Linked DNA regions of Callithrix jacchus. The protein of the gene in region 2 interacts with the protein of the main gene of each other region in a biochemical or structural test. Links are inferred from orthologs where the notes say so. Each region holds a gene or a part of one and is shown on either strand. Other genes may lie near its edges.

Region 1 (5,088 bases), on a different chromosome or scaffold from region 2:
CACGTTTTGTTGTGTCCTCAGTGCCTGGCACTTAGATGCTCAGTTTGTTAAATGGATAATGGGAGACACAGGACTGTCAATTATCCACATTTGATTAGTAAGCCCTACTAGCCCTGGGCCTGTAAGAGCAGGATCAAAAGGAAGTCCAGCTTTCCTCCCTTGCACCCTTTAGCATTAATTTTGTTTCCTCATGCACTGAAATCTGAGAATCCTGTCTATGCTGTTCACAGGCCCAGAGCCATGGCTATCTCCTCTTCCTCCTGCAAACTGCCCCTCGTGGCTGTGTGCCAGGTAACATCAACGCCAGACAAGCAACAGAACTTTAAAACATGTGCTGAGCTGGTTCGAGAGGCTGCCAGACTGGGTGCTTGCCTGGCTTTCCTGCCTGAAGCATTTGACTTCATTGCACGGGACCCTGCAGAGACGCTACACCTGTCTGAACCACTGGGTGGGAAACTTTTGGAAGAATACACCCAGCTTGCCAGGTATCAGGGAATGGGGGAGGGAGAGGTAAAATCTTTGTTGGGCAGTGCCCCTAGATTGCCAAATATGAGGGTACAGCCTTGAGAAGTCAGTGTCCCCTCCCCCCAGGGAATGTGGACTCTGGCTGTCCTTGGGTGGTTTCCATGAGCGTGGCCAAGACTGGGAGCAGACTCAGAAAATCTACAACTGTCATGTGCTGCTGAACAGCAAAGGTGAGACTTTATAACCCTTTAGCCTGCCTCTTCCACGTAAACTTAGATTCTCCAGAATTGTTTCTCAACTCTATTTCCTTGACCCTAGGATTTAAGGGTGTTACTTCTGTTCCTAGCCTATAAACTACTCCTTGGGAAGAGTAAGCAAGGTTTCTGGAACACGGGCACTGAATATTCCTTCTTACTCTAGGGGCAGTAGTGGCCACTTACAGGAAGACACATCTGTGTGATGTAGAGATTCCAGGGCAGGGGCCTATGTGTGAAAGCAACTCTACCATGCCGGGGCCCAGTCTTGAGTCGCCTGTCAGCACACCAGCAGGCAAGGTGGGAGTTGTGAGAGGGTGAGGGAGGGGAACTGGAATACTTTGAACTGGTAGTAGAGAATAGAAAGTCCTAAGGAGGGGGGTAATGAAAGTATGACTAGATGCTCTGACGAACAGGGCAGGAGGACTAAGTAGGCTGTTTTTCGTTCCAGATTGGTCTAGCTGTCTGCTATGACATTCGGTTCCCTGAACTCTCTCTGGCATTGGCTCAAGCTGGAGCAGAGATACTTACCTATCCTTCAGCTTTTGGATCTGTTACGGGACCAGCCCACTGGGAGGTAAGATGGCGCCTTTTTAAAATGTAAGAGCCTTTTCTTAACTTCAGCCTCCTCCCTTGGCCCTACCAGTTAAACTCCTTCCCCTTTCCACCTAGTAGGAAAACTCATTTCCCAGATAATTATATTACAGAATAGTTAAAATAATAATTCCTAGGCAATTATCAAAAGTCGCAATGGGTAGATTGTAGTGTCCCTTGTCACTTCCCCACTATTTGCTACGTATACTTAACTGAACACACATCTCATCCCCAGGTGTTGCTGCGGGCCCGTGCCATTGAAACCCAGTGCTATGTAGTGGCAGCAGCACAGTGTGGATGCCACCATGAGAAACGAGCAAGTTATGGCCACAGCATGGTGGTAGACCCCTGGGGAACGGTGGTGGCCCGCTGCTCTGAAGGCCCAGGGCTCTGCCTTGCCCGAATTGACCTCAACTATCTACGACAGTTGCGCCAACACCTGCCTGTGTTCCAGCACCGGAGGCCTGACCTCTATGGTAATCTGGGTCACCCACTGTCTTAAGACTTGACTTCTGTGAGTTGAGACTCGCCCCCCCTCCCCATTGTGAGCCAGTGTTGATGTGACTTGGAGGCAGGACCCAGGCACAGCTCCCCTCAATTGGAGAACCTTGACTTTCTTGATGGAACACAGGCTTGGCTTCTTGGGAAAGAAGCTTTCACCTGAGGTCAGATTGCAGTTTCAGAAAGGTGGCATTTTATATAGTCATTGTTTATTTCATGAAAACTGAAGTTATGCTGAGGGCTGAGCAGCACTGGCATTGAAAAATATAATAATCATAAAGTCTGTGTCTGGACATCTCCTTTGGGAGCTACAAGGGGAGTTGGTATACTAGTTGGACTGGGCTCCAGTTCTAGACCTCCTGGCTCATTCAACATGCCTCCCAACCTAAATAAAAGTGCAACACTCAGTGCATGTCCCAGCCCCATTCTCCCAAGCATGGGAGCGGGCACAGGAGTGGAGGGGGAAGGAAAAAGGAATTACTTCACTTTCACCTATGATGCCCTTTGCCCAAGCCAGAAGAAAGCAAAGGGGAAAAGGGCTGCAGGGTACATTATTTATTTTCATTTGAACGTGGAAAGAAAGTGTCACACTCCCCCTTCCCCTTTACAGGGGGAGTGTATTTTAATCAGCAACCTCTTCTCCATCCACCCTGTGTATGTGCATACACATCTGCCACCATAGTGGGGAGGCGTGACTAGGCTGATCCAGTCCTCTTATCTATTCCTCCCTTGAAGAGGGTTTGAGAAATGCAAAAAAGGAAAGAGCCACATCAGGCAGAGGTTTCAGCCATGGAATGGAGGAAAGAAGGCAGAGAGGAGCAGCACCAGAGGCCAGGAGAGAGTGGAAAGGGCCACAGCTTCGTTTTAAAAAAATTCTATAATTTGGAAGAGGGTGGCAATTAATTTTCAAAATACACTTCAGAGTCCCACCTTCCACATAGCTCCCTTACTCACAGCCCTTTGGTTTTTTTTTAGACAAAATTTAAGAGCTCTCATAAAGCCAGAGTATTGATAACCCCTTAGTGCACCCAAAAGCAGTGTTCACATCAATCCCTTACAAAGACTATGTTCTGTAGACTTTGTTTCTCCCTATACATTTGTCTTACGGCTCAGTGGTAAGGTAGCTGTAGAGACACACGTTGAGGGGTAAATGGAAAAGGGAAAAAAAGGGGAAGCCCAGGCACATGGGTGCAGGGAGGGGTGGGGAACACCACTTCCACTTTCCTTTGTCTTTTTCTTTTAAAAAAAAAAAAAAAAAGGCAGGGGTGTCATTGGTTGGAAGGGTAGAGAACAAACCCCAGAACAGTGTAAGCTCCAGAGGTGGGTGATGGGAACAGTCCCCAAAGAAATGAGAAGAGGGAAAAGGTCAGGGCAATGCTTGCAGCATCAAGTTCCTCAGGAGTTTCTGTCGGCCCAGCTCATAGTCCTCCTCATCTACATTTACCAGCAGCTTGATGGCTTCATGGCCCACAGCTTGCTTGAGGGAGTCTGTGATGAAGACACCTTTAAGTGCCTCTAATAAAGAGCCATTGATGTAGTCGCGCCAGAATGCATCGAGGTAGGTGAGCTCAGAAAACTTGATGTCACAGATGATGGAGCCCAGGTCCCGGGACTTGAGGATGGTGTTGGCCTGGTTAAAGCGCTCAAACTGGCGCTCAAGTGGGTCCTGCTTGTTAGAGAAGACGTTGCCCTGCAGAGCAGTCTCATGCTGGCAGTATTCAGCCCGAACCCGCAGTCTGATGTCTGTTAGAAAGAGAAGATACAGAGCACAAGAGGTTACAGTGAGGGATGAGTTTACAACCCAAGCTTGAAAACTGAAAAGCATACCAGAATAAAGTAGGGAACATCACCTGACAGCTTCTCTACCTCTTCCCCAGGACTAGTTCTATGTATCTCTACAATCCTTGCCTGACTACAGGAGGTTGCCTTAAATTGAACATGCCCAGGTCAGCACTGCTCCCATTACTCACAAGCAGCAACTTGCTTATAGGAGATATTTCTAATTACCAGGCACAGAAGTTCATTTTAATACTCCCATCTTGACTTGGTTCATCCTACAATAAGGATGTCATAACAACATCCGGGTGATGATAGAGTATTAACAAGAGTTTAAATGTACCCTGCCACAATCATAAAGAGCAGTTCCTCCACCAGACACCAAACCATTCAGCCTCACTTTGCCATGGCATTCAAAGTGAATCTCACACTGAATAGCATAAACTGTCCAGTGTCCCAGCAGTTTTTTTTTTTTTTTTTTTAAGAGATGGGGTTTCACCATGTTGGCCAGGCTGGTCTCGAACTCCTGTCCCTCAAGCAATTCACCCGCCTCAGCCTCCCAAAGTGCTGGGATTATAGGTGTGAGCCACCGCGCCCGGCCTCCAACAGTTCTTTACAGTCTCCCTCAAGTCTGCTCCACCTCTGGAACTCTTGAACTTCCTCACCACATGTCTGTTTTTCCTTGGGATCTGGTGTCACTGACTTCCGGCGTTTTCGCTGGCTCCCAAGTGTGGCTCTCCCTCGGGCTGGCCGCTTGCTACACATCTGAGGACCCGAAGTGGGGCAGCACACCACAGGATAGTGGGGAGGCACTAACCAGAAAGTAAAAGGGAAGAAAACACAGTAGGATTAAGGCAGAAATTCAAACACGTCTCTTGGAATGAGGAAGGAATCATTTAGACTTAGCACTCAAAGCAGTGACAATAATGTGACTTGAAAAGACACAATGTGAGAGCAAATACAGGACCTAGGAGAAATGTCAACACCTCACCTGAATTTTTTTTTTTTTTTTTTTTTGAGACAGAGTCTCACTGTGTCGCCCAGGCTGGAGTGCAGTGGCGCAATCTCAGCTTAGTGCAACCTCTGCCTCCTGGGTTCAAACAATTTCCTGCCTCAGCCTCCTGAGTAGCTGGGACTGCAGGTGTGCACCATGGCACCTGGCTAATTTTTGTATTTTTAGTAGAAACAGGGTTTCACCATGTTAGCCAGGATGGTCTCAATCTCCTGACTTCATGATCCGCCTGCCTTAGCCTTCCAAAGTGCTGAGATTACAGGCATGAGCCATGGTGCCCAGCCATGATTTTTTTTTTATGGCACACAATGTGGGGGCACAGCATCCTTTCATTTAAGCTGGCAAAGCCCCGAATGTGATGAAATCAGTGTCATTTTACTTGATTATGAAAAGTAAGGGGAGTCGATGTCTTCTCACCTGTTTTAGGGGGCTGGGGAGACCTCGGTTCTGGATCACTGAGGGCTCTGGGGGTCACATAGCGAATTG
Region 2 (6,656 bases):
GAGGGTCAGAGCCTCACAAAGGAAGTGCTGGAGTCTAGGCCTCAGCATCTCATTCCAGAGTCCCATTCTACCACTGTTTTATATGCCACAGTTAGACTACAAATACATTCCATCTCATCACCATCATTCTAGTTAATATTCTAGCAGCATCCTAGCTCTTGCACTGATAACTACCCCACAGGTGGGGGGAAAAGCAAAACATGCATTCGCCATCGGAAACAAAAACCTGCATCTCATCCAAAACTTGAGAGAACCTGAAAGCCACTCACTCTCAGGCCCAAACCTCTAACCGGTAGGTAGTATTGCCACGGCCTCGGGTCCAGGCTGGCTGCCCCAGACTTTGGGCTGCCCCTGAACCTCACAGACATCCATTCTGCACTCACATGGTGTCCATAGCAGGGCGCCGCAACCACAGTGTGCAAACAACCAAGCAAAGGTATCCCGACCTCAGCAAAACATACAAGCCCATCATTTTCAAACAGAATGAAACTTGCAACTTCACCTGTAAATGCTTAACCCCACAAGGACAGGTCTCTGATTTCATCCATCCAGTCTTCCCATTATATTGTTTTTTGAACTGTTTTGTATCTTTTTAATTTTCTTTCTTTTTTTTTTGAGACAGAGTTTTGCTCTTGTTGCCCAGGCTGGAAAGCAATGGCGTGATCTCGGCTCACAGCAATCTCCGCCTCCCAGGTTCAAGCAATTCTCCTGCCTCATCCTCCCAAGTAGCTGGGATTAAAAGCATGGGCCACCACGCCCAGCTAATTTTGTAATTTTAGGAGAGACGAGGTTTCTCCTTGTTGGTCAGGCTGGTCTCAAACTCCCGACCTCAGGTGATCCACCTGCCTCGGCCTCCCAAAGTGCTGGGATTACAGATGTGAGCCACCATGCCCAGCCTTTTTAAATTTCTTTAAAAAACAAATAATTGAATTAGTAGGACAATGGGTATGAGTATGCGTATGTGTGTGTGTGTGTGTGTTTATGTTGGCAAATGTGTATGTTGGTGGGTCTGTGTGTTGGTGGGAGGATAGCTGTAGCAGCAAAGTCAGTTGAGATTTAAATTTTGGCTTCTAAGACAAGTTGGGCTGGGATCAGGCTTTCGTACAAGTAGCTAAACTTGGAGCCTTTCAGAAACTCCTAAGACTCCATCGATCTAAGTTAGAGTGGCTTGAGGTCTGGAAACTGCATAACCCTCGGCAAGGCTCTCAGAGGGACTGCTGCCTCTTACACTAACTTCATGGTTTCCCCATCCACACTCAAACATGAGGATCACCTCCATGGCCCCAAGGCCACCCAATCTCACTCTCAGGAGCCTAGAAAACTCCAGAATCAAAGGCCTTCCTCCCAAAAGGCCCCTCTGACCTTACCAAAGAGGCGAATCCTTACCTTATTATCACAACGGTAGCACCTTCTTCACAGGCCTATCCACTGCCCATCTGAGCATCTAAGACAAGAGCAAACGTCTAATGAAGGACGGAAGGCACAGCCAGCTGCACTTCCTGTTTCGAAACTCCTGAGTCACAAACACTAGAGGGGAAACAACACTTACCACTTGTCTCTGAGTGAGCAGAGCCGCCCTCTAAAGCTCCTAAAGCTAAAGGGAAAAGGCCTGGTGGTCCATGAGATTGCAGGCAGGGTGGGGCAAGGCACATGGCCACCTGAGCAATGGCCACTGGCCAACATCTTTGTGTGACTTTGGATGAGTCATTTTACCTTTGGAGCCTCATTTCCATGTTCTGAAATGAGGACACTGGACTGGATTGTAACTAAGAACACTTTCTTTTCATATTTAGTATTTGAAGTTTTTTTGGGTTCATCATTAAGACTTTAAGTTTTTCATTCAATGTATCGTGACTGAGCACCCCGGAGAGGTCTTGAGATTGGGCACTGCAGAGCCCTCATCTTGGTTCTCAAGGTGGCTGCGAACTTTCAGAGCTAAAGCACCTGGTTTAGCCAAGGAGCATCTCCATGGCCCCAAGGTCACCAGATTCCACTCTCAGCAATCTAAAAAACTTTAAAATAAAAAACTCTAAAATGAAAAACCTCTAAAAAGAAAAAACTCTGAAATAAAAAAAAAAATTCTAAAATAAAAAATCTAGAAAGAAAAGAACTCTAAAATGAAATAACTCTTTGGTAAGCCCATCTTACCAAAGGTGGTCCTTGTGTATGAGTGTAGCTGAGGAAACCATGAAGTTAACTGCAAGATGGGTTTTTACCATCTTATCAAAGAGGCAAATCCTGGGGACCTCATCATGTTGGGCTCTAGTTGCCCATATGTATATAATATATGTATCAGTAAACAAAAGATTGCCTTCATACTGAGAGTTAGCTGAAATGTTTTCTGATATTAAAAGCAGGAAAAGAAAATCAAGCATCTCTCTTCTTTGAAGCTGCCTTTTGTCCTTCCCCAAATAGAATATAAGCATTCAGAGGGCAGGCACTCATAGCTGAGAAGACTGAATGAAGTATCTGAAAGGGACTCCTCACCAGAGAGGGCTAGGTCAAGGTGGCCTCATAACATCAATGCCTGATGGGCACAGTGGCATGCCTGTAATCCTAGCACTTTGGGAGGCCAAGGTGGGAGGATCATTTGAGCCTAGGCATTTGAGACCAGCCTGGGCAACATAGTGAGACACCATCTCTACGAAAAAAAATTTTTAATTAGCCAGGTGTAGTAGCACATGCCTGTGGTCCCAGCTAATCTGAAAGCTGAGATGGGAAAATTGCTTAATCCCAGGATGTCGAGGCTGAAGTGAGCCATGATTGTGCCACTGTACAATCATGATTGTGCCTGGGTGACAGAGCAAGACCCTGTCTCAAAAAAACAAAAAAGAAATAGAAATAGAATGTGCAAAATAAAATACCAATAATATTAATATGCAATAGTAATTGATAACTGGTGTAGTAAGTGACTTGTGCCTAGTGTCTCCTTCAAGCCTCACAGTCACCTCCCGAGGCATTATTAATCCCATATAATGATGAGATGACAGAGGCACAGAGGAATTACTTACCTGCCTCAGATCGCATAGTTAAAAAATAGTGTACACACACAAAAGAAAAATACATTTTGCAAAGATACAGATTAAATCACGAATTCATATCAAAACATTAGAGAACTGTCTTTGGGAAGCAAGAGAGAGGGCAGGGGTGGGAGTGGAGAGGTGAAAGGAAACCCTTAGAACCCGGGGAGGAAGGAAGCCGGCTGTGCGCCTTAGGGACCCAGGTCTGCAGGGCATCGTGATTCGACAGAATAAAGAACTTAACCCCCTGCCCCAGGGCCAAATGAAAAAGAAAAAAAAAAAGTGGATTGATAAAGTTTTCTGGAATCTCCAAAAGGGTCCACAGGAGGGAGACAGTGTGTCGGTATTCGAGGCGTCAGGGAAGCTGGGAGCTCAAGCTCTGAAGGCGGCAAAGAAACTGGAGACTCCTCCGAGTGAAAAAGCAGCAAGGTCAGAGGCAACGGCTCAGAGAGAAGCCCCACAGGGGAGCGGGGCCAGGCAGGACCCAGAGGTGTCCTCAGAAGGGCAGATGCAAGTTGCTTCCCCCTGCCCACCGACCCGTTTCTAGAGCTAGTGAAGAAACAAAAATATTGTGGTTTCCTGTGGAAGGGGTCACCTCGGCAACAGGCACTCACCCGCTCCACCCTTTCCGGGCACCATCGCAGTCTCCGAGTCCCCTAACCTGCCTAACTCCACACGCTCCGTGGGGAGCGGGGTGGGAAGGGCTCCCAGGAGGAACCTTTCTTTTACTTTCGATCACCACCCTCCACGGCCTCACTTCCTGTTGAGTGGACTAGCAAATTCAGCCCGGCTTGAAAAAAACGCAAGAGTAAGGAGGAAATCTGTAAAAACACTTCCCTCCAGCAAAAGGACAGAATCTGGTCTCCAGAGAAAAAGAAAATTCACAACAGAAGGAACTCCGGGGTAAATTGTACTCCTAAAGCAGGAGGACAGAGATGACTCACTCAAGCAAGAAATGTTTCCTTTTTAAAGGAACAGATGCCCAATTTCCAACCATTCAGAAGAGGTAGGTGGCAGACAATTCATTGACGTGCAAACTAGAAACCCGAGCGCTGGACATGCTTCACTGGAAAGCATTTATACTGACTCCATTAATAATAATAACACCTGTCCGTAGCAAGTAATATGCCATTCTTCCTTGCAAAGGGTCTGGGGAGAGGGCATTTCCCTCTCTTGATCCAAATCTCAGCACTGAAGCCACAGACCAGCCTTCTCCTCCCTCCCCGAGGACTGAGTAAAGCCAGCCCTGTAGCTGAAATGTAGGTAGATTGTTCACAAAGGAGGAAGTGTTTTCGCTCAGCCCTACTTGGCTCAGCCCTGAGTTCCCAGCCGTGGCCATGTTCTCCAGTTTAGTAGTAACCTGTGTCTTTGTAGTATCCAGCCTGGAGTGTTGGTGCTACTGAGTGAGGTCTGTTCCCCAAGCTCTGAGCCCCAGACCCTCCCCTGTTCTCTCTTTTGTTTGTTTGTTTGTTTGGTCTGTTGCCCAGGCTGGAGTGCAGTGCTGAGATCTTGGCTCACTGCAGTCTCCACCTCCTGGATTCAAGTGATTCTCCTGCCTCAGCCTCCCTAGTATCTGGGACTACAGGCACCCACCACCACGTCCAGCTAATTTTTGCATTTTTAGTAGAGACGGGGTTTCACCATGTTGGTCAGACTGATCTCCAACTCCTGACCTCAAACAATCCACCCACCTTGGCCTCCCAAAGTGCTGGGATTATAGGCATAAGCCACCATGCCCAGTCCCTCCCCAGTTCTCTCCCATCTGCTTCTGTTTCCTGAGTTTTTAATAAGGGTTTTCCGCCCTTTTGTTTTCACATGTTGTACATTTTATAACCAGAACACCAACAATAACACATTACTTATATGTTACACCATGACAAGAACTACCACTAATTCTCTCAGCAATTCAGAGTATTGTTCTCCCATGTTATAGATGAGGAAACTAATGCTCAAACAGTTACATAGAGTCAAACACAGTCCTGCTGGGCCAAAGACAGGGATTTTTCTATGACACACTAACTCCCTTTCTCCAACACTTAGGATTTGGAATCAATTATGTGGATGGAAGAGCAACAAATTTAAACTAAGAGTGACCGATGCACAAAGGTCAGAAGGTCCTTGGTTTCTCAGTCACCTAACAAAAATGAGATGGCCTAATAAAGGCACAGCTAATACTAATCAAACCATTTGTGTATGCCAGACATGGCCACCTAAATTGGTTCATTTCCACTTCTGAACAGTTCTCAGAAGTGGATGCTACTACTGGTCCCATTTTATGAATGGGGACACTGAGGCTTAGAGAGGTTGAAAGACTTGGCTATGCTCATTCAGTGAGTGAGTGATAGAATGAGCTCTGTTTGTCTCTAAGGCCCTGAGTGGTTAGTCACTGCCTAAACATGAATGCACAACCATGATCTCAATCTGACCAACCTCAGAATTAACTGCAAAATTTTTTAAAATACGAATCTTCAAGTTCCAGCTTTGGAACTCCTAACTGAGCAAAAATGTGGGAGATAAAACAGCTGGAGCACTTATAATAGTGCCTGTGCCTTCCACAGTTCTCAGTAAATAGGCTGTGGTCGCGGTGACTCGCACCAGTAGTTCCAGCACTTTGGAAGGCCAAGGCAGGAGGATCACTTGAGCCCCAGAAATAGAGACCAGCCTGGGCAACATAGGGAGACACCGTCTCTACAGAAAATGTTAAAAATTAGTCAGGTGTCGTGAGGTGCGTCTATGGTCTCCAGCTACTTAGGAGACTGAAGTGAAAGGAAAACTTGAGCGTGGGAGGTCAAGGGTGCAGGGAGCTATGCTCATGCCACTGCACTCCAGCCTGGGTGACAGAGCGAGACCCTGTATCAATAAATAAATAAATATTCACTACCCTGTTATTCAAGCTCACAACATCTCTCAGATGGCTACAGATTATTAGGCCTGTTACAGATGACGAAATTAAATGCAACATCAATCAGCTGACAAATGGCAGGGCCAGTGCATGAACTCAGGAGTGTCTCACTCAAGAGTTTCTGCTCTTAGACCCTGTAAACGTCTCACTGCATGTACCCAAACCCAGCCTTGCAAATACGGGTTAGCTGCTGGATGCATCTGAGAGGCAGTACTGAGAATGCGGGGAGCAGGGTAGCGGTGGGAGTCTCAGGGCTTCAACTTGTGCCATTTGTAAGGCACTGACCCTAGATTCTCCAGTCTTAGATCTTTTATATATATATATACATATATGAAGAGCTAATAAGTGAATTATGGCCAGGCACAGTGGCTCACCCCTGTGATCCCAGCACTTGGAGAGGCTGAGGCAGGCGGATCACTTAAGAGCAGTTCAAGAGCGGCCCGGCCAACATGGCGAAACCCCATCTCTACTAAAAATACAAAAAAATTAGCTGGGCATGGTGGCATGTGCCTGTAGTCTCAGCTACTCAAGGCTTGAGAATCGCTTGAGCCTAGGAGGTGGAGGTTGCAATGAGCCAAGATGGCACCATTGTGCCTGTGTGACAGAGGGAGACTCCATCTCAAAAAAAATAATAGCAGTAAGAGTTAATAAGTAAATTATAACCCTCAGGTTGGTTGAATTTCTATTGTGAAGCACAAGGCTCATTATTACTTCATTTGCTCTAACCAATTTCT
Region 3 (5,857 bases), on a different chromosome or scaffold from region 2:
TAATCTCATCAAGTCTAAGCAGAAAGTACATCATTTAGGGACACTACCCTCGCCCATCTGGAAATTCCATTTTCTTATCCTAGTGTTTCCTCTGCCCTTGACGACCTACCCTCCATCTCCTTCCCTACAGACATATGAAAGGGACTGCCTTCTCCCCACTTCTCCCCATCTTTCATTATTCAGAGCTCCTGGCAGGTTTTTACCCTCCCGATACTATTCTTTTTTTTTTTTTTTTTTTTGAGATAGAGTCTTGCTCTGTCACCCAGGCTGGAGTGCAGTGGTGTAATCTCAGCTCACTGCAACCTCTGCCTCCCAGGTTCAAGTGATTCTCCTGCCTCAGCCTCCTAAGTAGCAGGGATTACAGGCACCTACCACCAGCCCGGCTAATTTTTTTGTATTTTTAGTAGACACATGGTTTCACCATGTTGGCCAGGCTGGTCTCGAACTCCTGACCTCAGGTGATCCGCCTGCCTCGTCCTCCCAAAGTGCTCGGATTATAGGTGTGAGTCACCACACCCGGCCCCCGCATACTGTTCTTAAAGCTCTAGATGCTTTTCTGGTAGATGGCCTTAGTTTCCTCTCCTTCCCTCCTCACTGTGGTTTTTTTTCCTCATTTTGCTGACTGTCATACTCAGAATTCTTGTTTTGAAACTCAGTCCTCCAGATCTGCTTCCCTTTCAACGTCAGCCCACAAGATCATACTTGTTTGGAGCTTCCTGAAAAATCTAGGGTATGTGTCTGACTCCTCCCAGCCTTCTTGTTTCCTGACTTTCCTAAGCCTGCAGATCAAATCTGTTATCAAACCCATTATCTTGAAAAAAAAAAAAAAAAAAAAGTATTTACCTTTTCTAGCTCCACCCCTCTTTCCAACTTGGACACAGAGTACAAGATCATCTGAATGACAGACTTTAAGACAAGTAGTCATCCTAGTGCCTGGTAAAGCAGGACACACCAGGTAACTAGAGGGCAAGAATCTCCTAGGCATGGAGATTCTTGAGTCTCGGGGCACAAAACCAAGTGGAGAATAACTGTGCATGAGCCTGAGAATCCACGCAATCAGTTGATGCTATGGGCTAAGTGCCCTCCAAAATTCATGTGTTAGAATTTCATCCCCACCATGGTAGCATTAAGAGGGGGGGCCTTTTAAGAACTGATGAAGTCATGAGGGCTCCCCGCTCACAGCAAGCGCCTTTCCAACACCTTCAAACACCCTTGGTCTAAGCTTCCATCCACCTCTCAGCCAGGCCCTGCAGATCACAACTGCTGTGTGAAGCAAGAGGCAGCAAACAGGGACCCAGACTCAAATAGGTACCTCGCAGTAGGCAAGTTTTGCCCAAGTAGCTTCGTCCTGACCAAGGTACTTAGTTTTACCAAAAAAAATCCACCAGAAATACTCTGGCTGCCATGGAACCTAACATGCCCTCATTACGAGTTTCATGTGAGAAAGGCCCTGAGGTGAGGGGAAGAGAGGCCTGGCCTCTTCATGCTACTTCTACCTGCTGTCCCTAGGTCAGCATCCCAGACACAAAGAGCCCCCATTCGCTTGCTCCCTCGTAAGCTTGACTCCGAATGTCCTCTCCCAGAGGAGGACAAGGCCTTACCGCTACACCTGACTCTCCATGCAAACAGAGCACAAGATAGTCATTTGTTTGCCCCAAGAGAGTATGTGGTGCGTTAGGGTCTTCTGACATTTCGGGTGGCCCTCTCCCACTCTCCATGCTGCCTCTGGAGGTGAGGACAAAACTATGTGGCTTCCCTAACACAGACAGGGCCTTGGGGTCCAGGCCACAGACTGAGGAATCAAAGTCACAGGGGAGACTGAGCCCACTGAGCTTTGTGTCCCTAGCTAGCCCAGGGCTCCACTAACAGCACCTGCCCCTCAACTCCCACTCACAAGGACAGCAGCAAGGAAAAGCCAGCAATGTAGAGATTCCTCTGGGCACGGAAAAGCTTCATGTGGAAGTGTTCCATGGCTCCAGGATTGTTCTGGAGGTTCACCTTTTCAGTCACATCATCGTACTTTCGAATCTCGCGCACGGCATCTGTGGTGGAGCAGAAGGGAGACATAGGTGTTTAGCGGACACGAGGGCAAGTCAAGGCTGTACCAGGCAGACACGGCATGAGACAGGTCAGCCTCGCTTCCCTCACATTGGCCTCCCCTTGTGAGATGATGTTATCAGAAGCTCCCCCTCAGGCCGGGCACAGTGGCACATGCCTGTAATCCCAGAACTTTAGGAGGCCGAGGTGGGCAGATCATATGAGGTCAGGAGTTGAAGACCAGCCTGCCCAAAATGGCAAAACCCTGTCTCTACTAAAAATACAAAAAAAAAAAAAAATAGCCATGAGTGGTGGTGGGCATCTGTAATCCCAGCTACTCAGGAGGCTGAGGCAAAAGAATTGCTTGAACCCAGGAGGCAGAGGCTGCAGGGAGCTGAGATCACACCATTGCACTCCAGCCTGGGGGGCAAGAGTGAAACTCCGCCTCAAAAAAAAAGAAACTCCTACCCTCAGACCCACTCCTTTCTCCAGTTTTTCAATCCCTGGCCCCATTCTACATAGGCCCCAAGCTTGCTCTGCAGTTTAAGATGCTAACCAAGCCTAAAGAATTGCTGGAAACGGGGGTGGCTTCCTTTTCCCACGGTGCCCCCAACCACATCTTGTTCTGTTCATCTCAAGTTGGCCCACCAGCCACCCCCAGTGATAAGCCAGAGTGAACCTGGTGATAGAAATGTCTGCTGAGGGGACCTAAGATGCTGAAGAGTCAAGACCCAGGCCAGATGTGGTGGCTCACGCCTATAATCCCAACAGTTTGGGAGGCCAAGACAGGAAGACTATTTGAGGCCAAGAGTTCACAGCCATCCTGGGCAACACAGGAAGACCCTGTTTCTACCAAAAAAAAAAATTAATAGCTGGGCATGGTGGTGCAAACTTGTAGTCCCAACTATTCGAGAGGCTGAGACAAGAAGATCGCTTGAGCCCAACAGGTCAAAGGTGCCATGAGTTAACATCATGCCACTGCATTCCAGCCTGGGTGATGGAGCAAGACTCTGTCTCGAAAAAACCCAAACCAAAAAAAAAAAAAAAAAAAAAAAAAAAAACAGGAGTTAAGACCTGCAGGATCCCAGCTAGGGGTCAACGGTTTCATCTCAAAGCTTTACAATGCATTTTATGATTCATAATGTTTTATTCTGATTACAAAAGAAATTCACGCTCATCAAAAGTTCAAACACACCCAAAATGTAGAAAGGGAAAGGATAACACAATCACCTCCAGCAATATATACAACAAAAATGTGGCCACCTCATCTAAAGTCACTTTTAGGCACACTACCCTATGCTCTCTGCTTTGTAATAGACACCCATCTCTGATATTATCTTAAACACATTTTTTGGCTGGGAGAGGTGGCTCACGCCTGTAATCCCAGCACTGTGGGAGGCTGAGATGGGTGAATCACCTGAGGTCAGGAGTTCAAGACCAGCCTGGCCAACATGGTGAAATCCCGTCTCTACTAAAAATACAAATCTTAGCTGGGCATGGGAGTGGGTGCCTGTAATCCTAGCTACTCAGGAGGCTGACGCAAGAGAATTGCTTGAATCCAGAAGGCAGAGGTTGCAGTGAGCCGAGACCGTGCCATTGCACTCCAGCCTGGGCAACAAGAGTGAAACTCCATCTCAAAAAACAAAACAAAACAAAACACATTTTTTGGGTCCATCTCTCCCAAACAAGACTACAAACTTCACAAGAGCAGAAATCTTTTCAACTATATTCCCAGGGCCTGACATAGTTCTGGGTGCAGAGTGGGTACTGAAATAATTGTTGAGTCAGTAAACAGCCGCTGTTAGAGAGAGTACCAGTTAAAAATACATTTATGTTTGTCTCTAATAGAGAAATTGAAGCTTACTGCTTTTCACCATGTACCCTGAGACATCTTTTTAAGTCATGACACTAAGGTGTGCCTAAAGAAGGCGCTTCATAGACTCCGTATGAGAAGGGCAAGGTATCGCTGTATGGGCATCAAGATTCTTTTTGTAGGGTAGGTTACAGGGTCTCACTCTGTCACCCAGGCTGGAATGCAGTGGCATGATCTCAGCTCACTGCAACCTCTGCCTCTCAGCCTCAAGCAATCCCTCCACCTCAGCCTCCCCAGTAGCTGGGACCACAAGTGTGTGCTACCACACTCAGCTAATTTTTTTTCTTTTTCTACTTTTGGTAGAGACAGGGTTTTGCCATGTTACCCAGGCTGGTTTTAAACTCCCGAGCTCAAGCAATGGCCTTGCCCTCCCAAAGTGCAGGGATTACAAGTATGAGCCAGGGCTTGGCCTCATGGGGTTCTTAATTTCTGGTTTTAGGTTGCTTGGTTTTTAGCTGATCTTGCATTATAAAAATCTGTCCATCCTTCCAGGCGTCTTTGCATTACATCAGTACCATGAAGCAAGTACTCTCTTTTTTTGTTTGTTTTTTGTAGACACAGGTTTTCACCACATTCGCAAGGATGGTCTCGATCTCTTGACCTTGTGATCCGCCCGCCTCGGCCTCACAAAGTGCCGGGATTACAGGCATAAGCCACTGCACCCAGCCAAAGCAAGTACTCTCAAACGCTATTAGCAGGGGTATAAGCAGCACACATGCATCAAATGTCGTGTTCATACCCTTGGGTTCAGCAATCCACCTCTGTATTTGCCCACAGAAGGATTTCCATAAATGTACGATGATGCGAGGAGGCTTATAAAGAACAGACTATGGCACAACCACATGAGAGAATACTACGTGACCTCTAAGAAGAATGAGGTTGCCATGGAAAGATGTCAGCCAGGCGTGGTGGCTCACACCTGTAATCCCAGCACCTTGGGAGGCCAAGGCAGGCAGATCACATAAGGCCAGGAGTTCAAGACCAGCCTGACAACATGGTGAAACCCCATCTCTACTAAAAATACAAAAAATTAGCTGGGCGTGGTAGTGGGCACCTGTAGTCCCCAGCTACTCAGGAGATGAAGGCAGGAGAATTGCTTGAACCTGGGAGGCAGAGGTTGCAGAGAGCTGAGATGGTGCCACTATACTCCAGCTAGCCTGGGTGACACAGTGAGACTCTGTCTTAAAAAAAAAAAAGGCTGTGTAAGGCGCAGTAAGTAGCAAAAGCGCCATCCAAAGCATTGGTTCAGCTCTGCTGTGGACAGCAGTCTTGTCTCAGAGCTGTGCTGCCTGTTTAGGTGTGGAATGCTCCTCTCGCCATGTCCCAGCAGGACCGTAGAAGGAAACATAAATACTCAGGCCGGGCGTGGTGGCTTGGTAATCCAAGCAGTTTGGAGGCCAAGGCGGGCGGATCACCTGATCAGGAGTTCAAGACCAGCCTGACCAACGTGGTGAAACCCCGTCTTTAAAATAAATAAATAAAAATAAAATAAAGAAACATAAATACTCTGTGTGTATGATCCCACTGCTGTAGACATTTTATTAAAGATGTCAGCATAGAAAACACCTGTGGAAATGTGTAACAAAATATTCATGATGGTTACCTGTGTGGGACATGGGATTAAGGGGGAGTTTACTTTTCTAAACTCAATTTTTGAATTTTTAAGAATAATTACGCATTATTTTTGTAATCAGAAAAACAAGATAAAATACATGTTTTCTTACACTGTCACCTGCATCCAAGAACCCCATCATCCTAAGGACCACCTTGGCCAATGACCAAGAGTGGGGATGGAGGACGAAGCAATACTAACCCAAGTCCCACAGTAGATCCAGGCCCTCCCTGTCTCAGGCCTCAGCCCAGGTGGGAAGATCCTACACTCTCAGGAACTCCACCCTCCCAGGCAGATCTGCTCAACCCTCTCTGCCCCCAAGTAAGGACGAAGCT

Evidence for each region.
Region 1: the proteins of CASP8 (region 2) and DEDD form a complex in vitro, tested with the Homo sapiens proteins (2 studies listed by BioGRID). The link is inferred for Callithrix jacchus from reciprocal best matches to the Homo sapiens genes CASP8 and DEDD.
Region 3: of the proteins of CASP8 (region 2) and BCAP31, one has a biochemical effect on the other in vitro, tested with the Homo sapiens proteins (2 studies listed by BioGRID, with this or other methods). The link is inferred for Callithrix jacchus from reciprocal best matches to the Homo sapiens genes CASP8 and BCAP31.

The regions. Positions count from the first base shown.
Region 1 is NC_133519.1:20,979,628-20,984,715, forward strand, and holds the end of DEDD (death effector domain-containing protein), read right to left. Parts: coding exon 5,020-5,088; intron 4,403-5,019; coding exon 4,256-4,402; intron 3,558-4,255; coding exon 3,181-3,557; 3' UTR 2,007-3,180; downstream 1-2,006. Other genes in the region: NIT1 (deaminated glutathione amidase), read left to right, coding at 231-485, 592-695, 886-1,019, 1,171-1,296, 1,549-1,815. UniProt on the Homo sapiens protein: A scaffold protein that directs CASP3 to certain substrates and facilitates their ordered degradation during apoptosis. May also play a role in mediating CASP3 cleavage of KRT18. Regulates degradation of intermediate filaments during apoptosis.
Region 2 is NC_133507.1:122,348,543-122,355,198, reverse strand, and holds the start of CASP8 (caspase-8), read right to left. Parts: upstream 3,963-6,656; 5' UTR 3,660-3,962; coding exon 3,635-3,659; exon of another isoform or gene 3,358-3,634; intron 1,445-3,357; exon of another isoform or gene 1,387-1,444; intron 1-1,386. UniProt on the Homo sapiens protein: Thiol protease that plays a key role in programmed cell death by acting as a molecular switch for apoptosis, necroptosis and pyroptosis, and is required to prevent tissue damage during embryonic development and adulthood.
Region 3 is NC_133524.1:149,634,339-149,640,195, forward strand, and holds part of BCAP31 (B-cell receptor-associated protein 31), read right to left. Parts: intron 2,043-5,857; coding exon 1,895-2,042; intron 1-1,894. UniProt on the Homo sapiens protein: Functions as a chaperone protein. Is one of the most abundant endoplasmic reticulum (ER) proteins.